Saccharomyces cerevisiae S288C: one gene and its partners. The protein of the gene in region 3 interacts with the protein of the main gene of each other region in a biochemical or structural test. Each region holds a gene or a part of one and is shown on either strand. Other genes may lie near its edges.

Region 1 (3,401 bases), on a different chromosome or scaffold from region 3:
CACCATTTTGGACTTAACCGAAGAAGAAAAGCGCCATCATAGGATAGGGGGCACCCATTCTGGGTTGACACCACAAAGCAGCATTTCAAGTGACAAGGCTAGACATTTGATGGAGGAAATGAATGAAGAGGAAGGTATTCACGAAACTGTGGTACCTGAAGATCGTCACAACTTTGAAACCAAGCTTATAGGCAAGCTAAAAGATAAGGTGAAAAATATGAAAGTAACTGACAAGGCTAAAGATGAGGATATAGACCCAATGGACCCAATGAGTCCGTTGAATAAGGATGTGTCTTGATTAACTGCGGTGAACCTTCAATATCTGTACGTTTGAAAAATATTTCCAACGATATACCTCTATATTTTGATCTATAGAATATTTAATTGCAGTAGTTTTTTATCAGTAAGGTAGCGTTGATATTACTAGTGAAGGTAACTCTATAGTTCCTTGACATGTTCTTTAGATTCTAGAGGTTTTTTATTGAATTTGTTTTCCCACCTTATTTAAACTTTGAGAACAAAACTAGCAAAATCAATAATATAAGGACTGCGATAATGGCATAGCTTATGAATTTATTAGCAACTAGCCTTCTAGTCATTGTTTTTAGTGTCTTTATACTTTTATCCACATATGAATCCGCTTGAAACAAGGTCTGTCTTGCATTTTCCAAAGTTTCTCTCTGTGACCTTAAATCCATCATTATTTGTGACCCTATTCCTTCAGTTTCATTTGCTATTCTACTGGCATCTTTTAGTCTATCTCCCGATTTCTGTAAGATTGCATGGTTGCTCAACAACTGTTGCCTTTGGTCATCGTCAATATTAGATGCGTTAAGATCTCCAAAAAGTCTATCACGATCGCCTGAGTCTACTAAGGATTGCAGTGGTCGTTTGATATCGCTCTGTATAGTCTTCTTCCATTCTCTTAACTTCGCCTTGTACGTAGCACGTTCTGAGGCATCGCCTATGCTGTTATTAACTTCTACATCCATCTGATCTAGCAGGTCAAACAACTCATCTTGTTGCTGTTCTACGTGCTTCAGTGTAGTATTTCTCTGTGATAACGGTTGTGAGGGGGCCTCTGCTAAGCTCGCTTTGGCTTGTTCTAAGGTTGTTTTGAAGTCAGATTCGTATGATATTAATAGGGAACTCATAGTAAGCCATGCAGCAATGTAAAGAGTGCGGTTGATTCGTTTTATACAACTTAATGTAAAGCTTTACACTTTTCCAAGAATAGTAATTGCCCTATATAGCACGACTACTCCACTCCTAACTTTCATTGAAAATTAGACAGTCATGTGATCAGTAATATCGTCCATAGTGATATTTGTTTGTTTACCATTTTTGTTCTTATTTACTCTCTAATATGATTCTAGTATATGAAAGATACCACTGTCGTAGCTCGTATCAAAATAAAACTAGTCAGTCGTTGACCATTGAGCATATCGTCCGAGAATAAGGCTTTACTGTATTATTTTTTGATATCCACACGTTATTGAGCTCATTCACTGATCGACACATTTAGGCGGCTTTTCCGTTTGGCTGAAGCAACTTTGAAACACAACTACGACATTATAATTAAGCGCCTAAATAAGTGAATTTTGTGCCATAGGGTTGGACCGTGTATATATAAGAGCTATTCACTATTTTAATATTTGTTTTGGCATTTGAAACTCGTTGACATAAGCTTTATTATTAGGATGAATAACTCCAAAATTCCTAAACTTTCCTTTCATAGTGATCCAAACAACGTCACTCGAGACTTTCCAAAGACAAAACGACAGAAGGTTCAGAAAAGAGAAATGGATATGATACTAACTCCTAATAACAACAAGCTAAATATATTGCACAGCTCTGGATCTGGTATACGGCGCTGCTACACTGATGACACCTCCGCTACGTATACTAAGAAACTAACCTTTGGGGGGGACCCCAAGATTATTGAAAGGGTTAAGAACAATGAACGTAAGGTTAGAAAAGACATAGATTCACTACTGAATGCTATTTCTGAAATTGAAAAGGAATCTGTTCGTATTCATGCCAGGGAACTACCTGCAATAACATTAGAATTAGATGCAAAAGTCAAAGCGTGCAGGGAGCTACAAAATGAGATTGATGGACTATCAACGGAGATGGACTTGAAGGATAATCAATGTGATCTTCAAAGAAAGAATGTTGAGCTATCATCAAAAAATATAGTGTCTATGCATGCAGTAAAAGTACAAGAGTTCGAAAACGATTTAGAGGAAGAGCTATCGAATGCCAAAAGGGAGTGGACGTATAAATTAATGGAAGTAGAAAATTTGAAACCTGACGAAAGGTTAACTGACGAAATGCGACAGCTTAAAACAGAATTCGAGGAGGTCAATAGGAAACTATTCATTCTACAGAATGAAAATGAGAACGAGTGTAAAAACTACAAAAAAGAATTGGACAAGAAATTCGAGATATTCAAGAAAGTTAAGAACGATGCTAGAATTGAATTAGATGGGGAGCAAGAAAGACTTTCGAAAGTTTTAAAAGACCTACAAGACACCCATGGTGAACTGAAAGAAAATATTAAGACGTGTAGAGATGAGTTTAACGATTTTGAAAAAAGGATTGGAGAGGCAGAAGTGAACTTCCATAGCATGGAACTTGCCGTTGTTCCTCTCAAAAAGAAGCTTGCTTCTACATCACAAGCATTGACGCAAGTGCAGGAGGAGAAGAAGCAAGTCGAAGGAGAAGCAAACAATTGGAAGAAGAAGTACGTTAATGAACTAGAAAAGGTTCAACAGGAATTATACACACGACAAAATCTGGCCACTTCAATTGAAGAAATCAAAGGATACACCCGATGCTTTGCGTATGCCAATGAACGACAAATGCCTGATGAATTCCATATCAACTATGTGGATCGGTGCATTTGCGAGAATAGTGGAGAAAAACGGGTACAAGTATTTGATAGAGTAGTTCTCGAAGAAATCCATAAGGATCACAAACGCTTATATAACGAATGCATTCCGTTCCTGGAAAAATACATCAGCAAGTTAATTAACTGCAGCATTATAGTGGTTTCGCAGCAACCCACAGCACCAATGAAAAAGACTTTGCTAAAACAGTTAATTGAGCAGTACGGTGAGAATTATAAGATGACATTGAACATTTTGCATCTTGACGGAAGTATTAAACACAGTGACGTTGGATTAGATAACCCAACAGAAATTAGAGATCTGTCACAAGATGAAGAATGCATGAACATTTTAACTTTAGATACCAAGTTGGGAAAAGATGAAGAGTCCCATTCAATGAATATATATATCGGTAGTATGTCCACGGTACAGCTGAATAGAGAGCTTGATGATGCTCCCTCAGTCCTTTCGCATATTCTCACTAAAACAAAGCAGTGCTTTGTCTTCAAG
Region 2 (3,873 bases), on a different chromosome or scaffold from region 3:
TATCTATGGGGTTCAGAGTGATAAGGGGCAGGATAAGGAAGTTAAAAAAAAAAAGGTTACGTTATATAACGAAAGAAAAGAAACGAGCGAAGTGCCAACTATAGCCCAATATCAAGAATGCAAGTCAGCAAAGTACAGTAATCGTATGAAGATACGCGATGCGTAATATCCCTCAAGGGCTCCGGATCAGAAAAGCTAAGGGAAGATCCTTACATTACACGGCGTGCGACAGACTCGAACCACAGCTAACTTCTCGTGAAAAGATGGCTTCAACTTCGCTCTTGCAATAACTTTGAAACACACGAACAAAGGTTTATTGCGCTTGATTAACGTTGGAAGTATATGATACTAATACTACTTTGTTCTCTAAGTCATCGCTATATGTTTATCTCGAGGAAAAGGTGCACGGCGGTACACAATTACTTCGCCGTTTCGGGTAAAACAAGTGTTACATTTATAATATATATGTATATATGTATGTGCGCGTAAGTATATGCCGTTCATAACAAATCATCTTCTTGTTGCTGGATGGACTCCTTAATTTTATTCAAAATGGTAATTTTCCATTTATCTAGTCTCATAAAATTGTCAAACTCCTTACAGTGTTCGCTTAGCTGCTCGCTATCACCTTCATTAACAGCATCGATTAAACTTTTCAAGAAATTTGACTCCCTTGAATCCGCAAAATTCGGATCTTCACTTTGACCCTCTTGTAAAGTTCTTGCAGCAGCGACTGCATCAGTAGCAGCTAGCTGACAAAGCCCTTTTTTTAGGAAGTAATCCTTCAAACTCCATTGGCTCAATCTATTGCCCATGCTGCTCTTGATCAACTTCGAATATATATCACTTGCTTCAATATATTGACCGTCAAGAGCCTTTAGATCTGCGCATTTGATAAAACACTTATTCGATAATGCTACCGACTGGTCTTGGGCATACCACTCACCAGCGAGCTCATAGCAATCTATAGCTTTTGCATAGTCATGCAAATCATTTTCTAGAATTTCTCCAAGCTCAAACTTGAAATTAGCACCTCTCCGGAACTGCCCCCTATGAGTAAAAATTTGAATAGCATTTTCTAATGAATCCACGGCGTTCACAGAGTTTCCACCGCTTTTAAAGCATTTATAAGCCTCTACGTAGGTATTTCCTGCTTCGTCTTCATTACCAGCCTTTTTCTGATAGTCAGCAGCTTTCAAAAACGAGTCTCCTGCCAAGTTTAACTCTTTTCTTAGACGGTAAATGGTGGCTGCTTGGACACAAAGATCAGCAGCCTCCTCAAACTTGTATGAATCAGAACCGCTAAACAATTTCATGAAACCCGATGAAGGAACACCCTTCTTCTCAGCCTTAACACAACGGGAAATATCAATTCCCGTATTTCAATGTTAGTAATTTGCCTTCGTAAATTACGGAATCACATAGCTTTCATTTTGTTCCTTTGATATATTTCCCTACTACATACTCTTTTCAATAACTCTACAGGGTCTGACATTTTTAACTTTCAGGTTAATGATGGTGTTCTTACTATATTCTCGAGTCGTACAGAAGTTAGTTCAGATAAACTGCTTCGGTGCTGCCCACTTCTTATCATTACTTCAACTTTACCTTCCCTATACCTGTGTGTCCTTATTAATTCAAGTTAATCCGAGGTAATAGATTAGGGTAACCTTCAATGATGTCACGAAACACGGATGCTGCAACTTTGCGATTTTTTCCTGGAAAAGAATAACAATTAAAGGCAGCCTTTCAGCTGAGATTACCAGCAGGTCTTTGGAGATTAGCGCAAGAAGAAGTGTGATATAGTACTCATAGAGGCAGGCTACAGACTAGGGAAAGCGTGTTCAACAACAATAAGAAATGGAGACCAGTTCTTTTGAGAATGCTCCTCCTGCAGCCATCAATGATGCTCAGGATAATAATATAAATACGGAGACTAATGACCAGGAAACAAATCAGCAATCTATCGAAACTAGAGATGCAATTGACAAAGAAAACGGTGTGCAAACGGAAACTGGTGAGAACTCTGCAAAAAATGCCGAACAAAACGTTTCTTCTACAAATTTGAATAATGCCCCCACCAATGGTGCTTTGGACGATGATGTTATCCCAAATGCTATTGTTATTAAAAACATTCCGTTTGCTATTAAAAAAGAGCAATTGTTAGACATTATTGAAGAAATGGATCTTCCCCTTCCTTATGCCTTCAATTACCACTTTGATAACGGTATTTTCAGAGGACTAGCCTTTGCGAATTTCACCACTCCTGAAGAAACTACTCAAGTGATAACTTCTTTGAATGGAAAGGAAATCAGCGGGAGGAAATTGAAAGTGGAATATAAAAAAATGCTTCCCCAAGCTGAAAGAGAAAGAATCGAGAGGGAGAAGAGAGAGAAAAGAGGACAATTAGAAGAACAACACAGATCGTCATCTAATCTTTCTTTGGATTCTTTATCTAAAATGAGTGGAAGCGGAAACAATAATACTTCTAACAATCAATTATTCTCGACTCTAATGAACGGCATTAATGCTAATAGCATGATGAACAGTCCAATGAATAATACCATTAACAATAACAGTTCTAATAACAACAATAGTGGTAACATCATTCTGAACCAACCTTCACTTTCTGCCCAACATACTTCTTCATCGTTGTACCAAACAAACGTTAATAATCAAGCCCAGATGTCCACTGAGAGATTTTATGCGCCTTTACCATCAACTTCCACTTTGCCTCTCCCACCCCAACAACTGGACTTCAATGACCCTGACACTTTGGAAATTTATTCCCAATTATTGTTATTTAAGGATAGAGAAAAGTATTATTACGAGTTGGCTTATCCCATGGGTATATCCGCTTCCCACAAGAGAATTATCAATGTTTTGTGCTCGTACTTAGGGCTAGTAGAAGTATATGATCCAAGATTTATTATTATCAGAAGAAAGATTCTGGATCATGCTAATTTACAATCTCATTTGCAACAACAAGGTCAAATGACATCTGCTCATCCTTTGCAGCCAAACTCCACTGGCGGCTCCATGAATAGGTCACAATCTTATACAAGTTTGTTACAGGCCCATGCAGCAGCTGCAGCGAATAGTATTAGCAATCAGGCCGTTAACAATTCTTCCAACAGCAATACTATTAACAGTAATAACGGTAACGGTAACAATGTCATCATTAATAACAATAGCGCCAGCTCAACACCAAAAATTTCTTCACAGGGACAATTCTCCATGCAACCAACACTAACCTCACCTAAAATGAACATACACCATAGTTCTCAATACAATTCCGCAGACCAACCGCAACAACCTCAACCACAAACACAGCAAAATGTTCAGTCAGCTGCGCAACAACAACAATCTTTTTTAAGACAACAAGCTACTTTAACACCATCCTCAAGAATTCCATCCGGTTATTCTGCCAACCATTATCAAATCAATTCCGTTAATCCCTTACTGAGAAATTCTCAAATTTCACCTCCAAATTCACAAATCCCAATCAACAGCCAAACCCTATCCCAAGCGCAACCACCAGCACAGTCCCAAACTCAACAACGGGTACCAGTGGCATACCAAAATGCTTCATTGTCTTCCCAGCAGTTGTACAACCTTAACGGCCCATCTTCAGCAAACTCACAGTCCCAACTGCTTCCACAGCACACAAATGGCTCAGTACATTCTAATTTCTCATATCAGTCTTATCACGATGAGTCCATGTTGTCCGCACACAATTTGAATAGTGCCGACTTGATCTATAAATCTTTGAGTCACTCTGGACTAGATGATGGCTTGGAACAGGGCTTGAATCGTTCTTTAAGCGGACTGGATTTACAAAACCAAAACAAGAAGAATCTATGGTAATATATA
Region 3 (8,448 bases):
TTTTATGCTTATTTTTCGTTGTAGGAAAATGCCTCTTCTCTTATAACCAAATGGGGAAAAATATAAATGATGCATCTCGAAAAAGCTTCAAGATCTACTGGAACCGCAACTTCTACTCTAGAACTGGATAAAAGCCTAGAAGAACTTCAAAATTAAAGGGGCGCAAGAAAGTTTCAAATATATTACATATTTGCTACTTAGATCAAGAATAACCACCCCCGGTCGTGACTTTTTAGATTTTTTTTATCTTGTTTATTTTTAGCAAAATAACCGTTTCAAGAAAATACTAGAAATATAATCAAAGACTCCCAAGCGTATACACAGTAATGAACGTTTGCAAGTTGAAAGAAATAGTACCACTATTTCCGAGATCGTCCTTTACAGATGGTGTAGTAAGTACAGGAAAAAGTTTCCGAAGCTGGGACACCTGCATGGACAATAAAGCATGTAAAATTATTGCGATTGTTGGTATTGTTTTGGCCTGTATTCTTGTGATTTGGTTGATTGGGGGCTTACTGACATGTTTCAGGCAAGGGGTAACAGGAATAGGTCAGTTCATTTGTTGGTGTTGTCGTTGTTCTAATGACAGAAATGGAAACAATACAATGCCGGTAAATGAGGGTTTTAGTAGAGTTAATATGGGCGTGGCTCCTCCTTCTACTGTGATTTATCAGCCTATTCAACAACCTGAAAGTGCGTATTATAGAAACGATGCGAAGAATGATACATTTTACGACGAAGTCAAAACTCCCAGTAATGAGGTGTATGAATTAGAGGAAGATTTCGATTTGGAAAAACAAAAAGAGAAAACAAGGAAAAAACAACAGAAGGAAAGAAATAAAGAAGGACGCAGCCCTAGTAGGGTGGCCCCTCTAGTGTATGAAGAAGAAAATTTCGAAGGTAGCAGCCCTCAGCCGCAATATGATGCTAGAAATTCGTTTATCCAAAATGCGGCCAATACTGGTAGCAACAACGCTCATGTTGCTTCACAATCTCCAATTTTTGACATCAGCGATTATGGCGAGAACTATTATTACGATAATAATAACATCAATAATAACCTCCAGGGAAACAGTTACAATACTCCCTCCTCTAATCATAGAAGTCCATATCCAACCGAAAATTATCAATCATATCAGGGATATAAACCAAACCAAAGCGATAGATATTACTAATGAGGTAAATATATATTCCCCCTTCTTTTGAATAATCAGTCAGACATTTTAAGATCAAGAGGATTCATTGGTAGATTTTGCAAGAACCAATTAGGAATTTCTTCAGGAATAACTGTGAGCTTGCGTTTACGGAAAGGAAAGTAAAAAAAAATCTTCCAACGAGTTTTTCCTTGTACCGGTTGCTAAAAAGGTGCCTTCTAACAGGTAACACCAGAAACCGCAACTTTTAAAATGCAAATAAGGGCAGTCAATGGTGAACTTCCTCTTGGTCAGTTAGTATGTACAATAAATTAGGTTGTTTTCCTCAGGATAAAAGTGATCTATTTGTAACATATAGTTTACCTAGGTGCTGACGAGGACACAGGAAGAGCAAAACTAAGATCATACAAGTCAATACTTATTATAATCAAATGATAATATTCGTTCAGCCTCATATTCGAGTTTCACATCACAACTTTTTTTTTCGCGAGATGCGCAGTAAAAACTCTATATACATTTTTGTAGTGAATTTTGATTTTGATGTAAAGAAAGCAGCCAGGAGATTAAAGGAAGGAAAATAGAACAATAAAAAACCACGGGATCAGCATTAACAAATTGGCCAACTAATATCCACTGCAGAAAGTTGAGATTATGTCCTTTTTCGACATCGAAGCACAATCTTCAAAGGGTAACTCCCAGCAAGAACCACAATTCTCAACAAATCAAAAAACGAAGGAATTAAGCAATTTAATTGAGACATTCGCTGAACAATCCCGCGTGCTGGAAAAGGAATGCACCAAAATTGGTTCCAAACGGGACTCCAAAGAACTAAGATACAAAATTGAAACAGAGTTAATACCGAACTGCACCAGTGTAAGGGATAAAATTGAGAGCAACATCCTCATTCACCAAAATGGAAAGTTGTCTGCTGATTTCAAGAACCTGAAAACGAAGTATCAATCCCTACAACAATCATACAATCAAAGGAAGAGTCTGTTCCCTCTAAAAACGCCTATTTCACCAGGAACATCTAAGGAAAGAAAAGACATCCATCCGCGAACTGAAGCCGTGCGACAAGATCCAGAGTCTAGTTATATTTCTATAAAAGTAAACGAGCAGAGTCCTTTACTGCATAACGAAGGACAACACCAATTACAGCTGCAAGAAGAACAAGAACAACAACAGCAAGGATTGTCCCAAGAAGAACTAGATTTTCAAACAATCATTCACCAGGAAAGATCCCAACAGATAGGACGCATTCATACGGCGGTACAAGAAGTCAATGCTATTTTCCATCAGCTCGGTTCATTAGTGAAAGAACAGGGAGAACAAGTAACCACCATAGACGAGAATATCTCGCATTTACATGATAACATGCAGAATGCAAACAAACAATTAACCAGAGCAGACCAGCATCAGAGGGACCGTAACAAATGCGGTAAGGTCACCCTAATCATTATAATAGTTGTGTGCATGGTGGTATTGCTTGCTGTATTAAGTTAGTAATCTCCTTAAACGCGCATTGAGCACAGACTTTCTGGTAGACCCAATCTTATCTATTTACGAAAACAAGAGTGTATAAGAGTGTATAAGTTATTTTTTGCATTTATTCTTTTGTGGTAGGGGGGTTTCTTAGCCGCTCTTTTTGACTCAAAATTTCCTTTGATGTCTAGTGATAGTGCACTTCCCATGTGCGCAACCTGTGTTTTTTGTACTCCGTAGTTTAAATGCAAGGGCTCGATATGCCCTTTTTCCTTTTTCTACTTTGTACGATCTACACTGACCTTTTTTCAGTAGTCCGTAAATCCCCACGAATTTCTACTAGCGACTGCCAATAAAAAAAGGATTGTGCTACTGTATGTAAAAAGTAAGAACCCTGTTATTTTCCGTTAACTGTCATTTGCCTTACTGTTGCTTAACGGCCGCCAACCGTTATCAAGAAACAAAACATTGTATGCGTTGTCTTCTAAATGAACCTTGTGGGCCCTGATAAACATAAGAACGTGTCTGGCTCGGAAGTATTTATCTTATTTCAATTTTCGCTTTTGCAGAACATCCTTGCCTGTCACTAAGATAAGGACAGAGCGTGGATTAATAAAAATGGCAGAATTTCTCGGCAAAAAAAGAAATCATGCATAATTACCTCGATGTGTACGTTATTGCGGGCACGATCCTGTCGCTACGGCCTGATAGTAGCGGCTATTCTGCTGGCGAAAATTTTCAGCAGTTTGAAATCTTACTGTGGCGTCCCGGTCCAGCCGAGATGACATCTAACTAAGAAATGTCCGCTGCGGCACACCCACGCCGTTGCAGCTAAAGTCGCGCACCAAGCACAGACCTGCTGGAGAATGAGGAACAAGGTTGCGTTAAATGCTTCGGGAAGAACTGCCGAACCGAACCGCTAGAAAAGTGCGCAGGTACCCCGATCGAAGCGGCTCGGCGCTCATTTTAGCACAATCAGAAAAAGGAAATTGAAAGAAGAAAAAAAAAACATAATCATTAACAATTCTTTTCTTGAGATATACGTATATATGACGTCGTCATGTAGTATCTCTTTCGGGATACCCTTTGTAAACGTCCCTTTGTGGAGATGAAAAAAAAACTTGCTGAATAAAGATAGTTAAGGCGCTAGTAATCAAATTAATAACATATTATACCACATCACATCTATACCATTTCCGTTGCACATTGCTTGAACCAGTTGCCAAAATTGACTAAACGGATTTTTACAAAGTCAACGGTGATCACTAAAAGCAAACAACTCAAGCGACGAGGCAAGGAAAGAGAAGAAAAAAAAAATATTACATTGGCTATATAAATATCAAAACATCTTAGGTAAGGCACCTTTGATACATAAAACGAAGAAAATTCAGCACATGCCAGATGGCGAGTGTACCAAGTCTATGCGACATACTGATACCGCTAGAAAAGAATAGTCGCAGCGACGGCGATGCTGAAAGTAGCAATACAGTGCTGATTCAACTGCGAAAAGGGCATCACGAACGGATGCGTTCTCCTTACACAATACAAAAGTTTTACAAATTTCTAAAAAGAGCTCATTGTGAGGAAAATTTAGAATTTTTCGAAAAAGCTCATCAGTTCCTCCAGCTTAAGCAAAACAGGAGTATTAGCGAGGAGAAGCTCTTGGAAGTTTGGAACAAGTCGTTGTACATAAAATACATTGCCGTGGACTCCCCCAAAGAATGCAACTTTTCACAGGATACTAGGGAGATATTTGAGAAGTGCTTTGCTAACAATGAAGTACCTGCCGACGTAGACGTCCTGTGTGCCATTAGCCATGTGATGGGCCTATTAATGGACGGGTATCACCGATTTGTGAGTTCTGTTAATGAGAAAAAGTACTCCGCCACATATGCCCACAATGACTCTGCTACGGAACAAGATCTCAAAAACGAGTCTACAACTTCTTTTTCGTCATTAGGCGTGGAGGATATTTCTGAAGATAGAAATTCGTATCTTAAGAAGCCTGATATCAATGGTTTGTCAACTATCATTCAAGAAACGTCTGCAAACACGACCAATGAGTCGCAATGCAGCGATCGCACTTCTCGGCCAAGCGAGTCCTCTTCCTCACTCAACACTACCAGCTCGACCTACAAGAATACCAGCACTAGAAATCTGCAAAAACCGCAAAATACAGGAATTCTCAACTCGGGGAAAGGTTTATTGCAAAAACTTAACTTTGTTAAAAAACGGAAATCTTTCAAACAGCCTTCAGGCGTCATTTGTAGCCATTATAACAGCAATGTTCAAAACCGTTTGAAAGGACAAAACAGTCATCAACAAAGATAGCCTCTTCATCATCTGTGGAGACACAAATATCTTCATCCTCATCGCCATTACCCAATAAAGCGATCGGTAAAAATGAAAAAAGCGTTGAAAACGGCTTTAAAAAGCTAAATTTGCATGATATCAGTTAATCAAGATTAGAACTTTGATTAAGTAGAACAACGATAGAAAATCCGCTTTTCTGGCTAGTTCCCTCGTTTCATATTAATTCATTTCACACAATTTACTTCATTTCATCACGCTCATATTGTTTGTAACTTTAGTTTTTATTTAATTTTACGTACATGACACTGCATATAATTATTTCACAGGCATTTAAAATAAGAGCATTGGGCACAGTCTTCTTTTATATGTTGTCATATTCAAACACTAAACATTTATCTGTATAGTAATTAATGTTAGCTCTTCCTTCTGCATGGCGCTTGTTATATACTTCATTCGTCTATTTTGGTGCCGCGCGCCATCATGGTCCGGTAACGGTCGTAGTGAATGACTCATATTTTTCCATCTCTTTCGGCCTTGCCAAAAAATGAAAAAAAAAAAAAAAAAAAAAAAAAAAATTAAAAACGATGTCCAGAATCACAACTACAACATAGTTTTGCCTCTTACTGGCTTGATTGGAAGTTAGCTGTTAAATTTCAATAATGCCTTACTTTACTCCACGAAATCACAATCCTTGTTTTCGGCTTATAAGGGTCTTCTCCTTAGGATAATACTATCGGCACATTATCATTTAGCCGCGTAGCCATGGTAAAACATTCGTTCATAGCGCTAGCTGAGCATGCTAGTAAACTAAGAAGGTCTATCCCACCCGTCAAACTGACTTATAAAAATATGCTACGGGACCCATCGGTAAAATATAGGGCGTTTGCTCCACCAAAAATGGTCAAGAGGATTTGGCCTGACAAAACTATTCAAAAGGCTCCACGTTGGCTGTCTACTGACTTGAGGGACGGTAATCAATCTTTACCGGACCCAATGTCTGTGGCTCAAAAGAAAGAATATTTCCACAAGTTGATCAACATCGGTTTCAAAGAAATCGAAGTGTCTTTCCCCTCTGCATCTCAAACAGATTTCGACTTCACCAGGTATGCTGTAGAAAACGCTCCAGATGATGTTGGTATTCAATGTCTTGTCCAATCTAGAGAACACTTGATTAAAAGAACCGTGGAAGCATTGACTGGTGCTAAAAGGGCTACCATACATACTTACTTGGCCACAAGTGACATGTTCCGAGAAATTGTCTTCAATATGTCTAGAGAGGAAGCTATTTCTAAAGCTGTAGAAGCCACCAAACTGGTTAGGAAACTAACCAAGGATGACCCTTCCCAGCAAGCTACTCGTTGGTCCTATGAGTTTTCTCCCGAATGTTTCAGTGATACGCCAGGTGAATTTGCTGTAGAAATTTGTGAAGCTGTTAAAAAGGCTTGGGAACCTACCGAGGAAAATCCGATCATTTTCAACTTACCAGCTACTGTAGAAGTTGCCTCTCCAAATGTTTACGCTGATCAAATTGAGTACTTCTCTACCCACATTACTGAGCGTGAGAAGGTCTGTATTTCTACGCATTGTCACAATGACCGTGGTTGCGGTGTCGCCGCCACAGAATTAGGTATGCTTGCAGGCGCTGATCGTGTAGAAGGTTGTCTATTTGGTAATGGTGAACGTACAGGTAATGTTGATTTGGTTACAGTTGCCATGAATATGTATACCCAAGGTGTTTCTCCTAATTTAGATTTCTCAGATTTAACTTCAATTTCTGAAATTGTCCATCGCTGTAACAAGATTCCAATTCCCCCAAGAGCCCCATATGGCGGTGAATTGGTTGTTTCTGCCTTTTCTGGTTCTCATCAGGATGCAATTAAGAAGGGATTTGCAATCCAAAACAAGAAACAGGCTCAAGGAGAAACTCGGTGGAGAATTCCATACTTACCATTGGATCCAAAGGATATTGGACGTGATTACGAAGCCGTCATCAGAGTCAACTCTCAATCCGGTAAGGGTGGTGCTGCTTGGGTTATTATGAGATCTCTAGGATTAGATGTACCAAGACCAATGCAAGTTGATTTCTCCAATACTCTACAGAAAAATGCAGATGCCTTAGGAAGAGAGTTAAAATCCGAAGAGATTACAAAATTGTTCAAAGAAACTTACAACTACAACAACAATGAACATATATACGTCACCTTGTTGAATTACGAAGTTAAGAAATTGAACCCAGAGCGTAGAGCTTTAGTGGGCCAGGTAGAAATCAACGATAAGGTTGTCAACATCGAAGGCTACGGAAATGGTCCTATCTCTTCTTTGGTGGATGCGCTATCCAATTTACTGAATGTTAAGTTGAGCGTTCAAAACTACTCTGAACATTCCTTGGGTTCTGGTTCTGCAACCCAAGCGGCATCTTTCATAAATCTTTCCTACATAAAGGACATCAATAATCATGCTACTAGTAATATGTGGGGTGTTGGTGTCTCCGAAGACACTGGGGATGCATCTATTAAGGCGGTATTTGCTACTGTCAATAATATTATTCATTCCGGGGATGTTCTACTGGCAGAGTAATAGAAAGGAGTAGCTTATGATTACTCATGTTATATATATATGTATTTTTATTTATAAATGGCACAGAAAAGTAACTTATTTCACGTTAAAAAGACATCTTTCAGCGAAGTTTCCAAACACTTCTTCGATGTCTGTGTGGAAAGTTTCTTTCGTTTATAGTTTTATTATTTTTTTTTGCTTTTTTTCCCATGGTACCATTTCCTTTCGTGAAACATTTTACCCAGGCCCACCCACCGCATAATCTTAACTGAATCCGAATAGGGATTTTTCGAGCACTACTGCAACTGTTGAGTGAGCTAGGAGTAGTGTAATTTGAGACTTTGTGAAGGGAGAACAGTCAATATCCAATATCATATTAAGAAAGCTAGCAGTACCTTAAGAGGAAGAAAGAAAATAACTGGGGCGAAGAATATCTAGTTATCCACTCCTTCATAGAATGATTATCTTTGTTTCAGAAGAACCTGAAAGGAGGCTAGCCATTGTATCCAACTTGTATGCTCTTGTTCTTAAACCGGTTGGGAAAAAGCCATCTGATAAACCCCTTTGTGCCATTGAACTTCTTCAAAAAAATGATTTGAAAAAATATGGCTTCAAAAGACTTACATCACACGAAATTTTTGGTGTTATCGGACTCATTGAGGTTAATGGCCTGCTGTTTGTTGGTGCCATCACTGGGAAATCAAAAGTTGCACAGCCATGCCCAGGAGAGACTGTGAACAAAATTTTTGCTGTCGATTTTTTTTGTTTAAATGACAACAGTTGGGATTTTATTGAAATCGACTCCTCAGGTTATCCTGTGTTGCCGGAGACTGCTTCAACTGAATATCAAGACGCCTTGCCAAAACATCCATGCTATGAATTGAAGAAACTATTATCCAATGGATCTTTTTATTATAGTTCAGATTTTGATTTGACCTCAACC

What was found.
Region 1: the proteins of VAM3 (region 3) and VTI1 form a complex in vitro, tested with the Saccharomyces cerevisiae proteins (6 studies listed by BioGRID).
Region 2: the proteins of VAM3 (region 3) and SEC17 form a complex in vitro, tested with the Saccharomyces cerevisiae proteins (3 studies listed by BioGRID).

The regions. Positions count from the first base shown.
Region 1 is NC_001145.3:658,045-661,445, forward strand, and holds VTI1 (v-SNARE protein VTI1), read right to left. Parts: upstream 1,155-3,401; coding exon 501-1,154; downstream 1-500. Other genes in the region: YMR196W (uncharacterized protein), read left to right, coding at 1-298; CIK1 (Cik1p), read left to right, coding at 1,701-3,401. UniProt on the Saccharomyces cerevisiae protein: t-SNARE found in various SNARE complexes involved in multiple transport pathways. The composition of the t-SNARE complexes is specific for a limited number of v-SNAREs and therefore allows only the vesicles carrying the matching v-SNARE to fuse.
Region 2 is NC_001134.8:122,747-126,619, reverse strand, and holds SEC17 (alpha-soluble NSF attachment protein SEC17), read right to left. Parts: upstream 1,496-3,873; coding exon 1,466-1,495; intron 1,350-1,465; coding exon 501-1,349; downstream 1-500. Other genes in the region: PIN4 (Pin4p), read left to right, coding at 1,861-3,867. UniProt on the Saccharomyces cerevisiae protein: SNARE complex protein that binds to cis-SNARE complexes on membranes and is required for vesicular transport between the endoplasmic reticulum and the Golgi apparatus and for homotypic vacuole fusion.
Region 3 is NC_001147.6:517,316-525,763, forward strand, and holds VAM3 (SNAP receptor VAM3), read left to right. Parts: upstream 1-1,805; coding exon 1,806-2,657; downstream 2,658-8,448. Other genes in the region: PIN2 (Pin2p), read left to right, coding at 327-1,175; YOR105W (uncharacterized protein), read left to right, coding at 880-1,206; GTPase-activating protein RGS2, read left to right, coding at 4,038-4,967; 2-isopropylmalate synthase LEU9, read left to right, coding at 5,712-7,526; phosphatidylinositol-3-/phosphoinositide 5-phosphatase INP53, read left to right, coding at 7,963-8,448. UniProt on the Saccharomyces cerevisiae protein: Required for vacuolar assembly. Provides the t-SNARE function in a late step of the vacuolar assembly. Required for homotypic vacuole membrane fusion, autophagy and fusion of biosynthetic transport vesicles with the vacuole.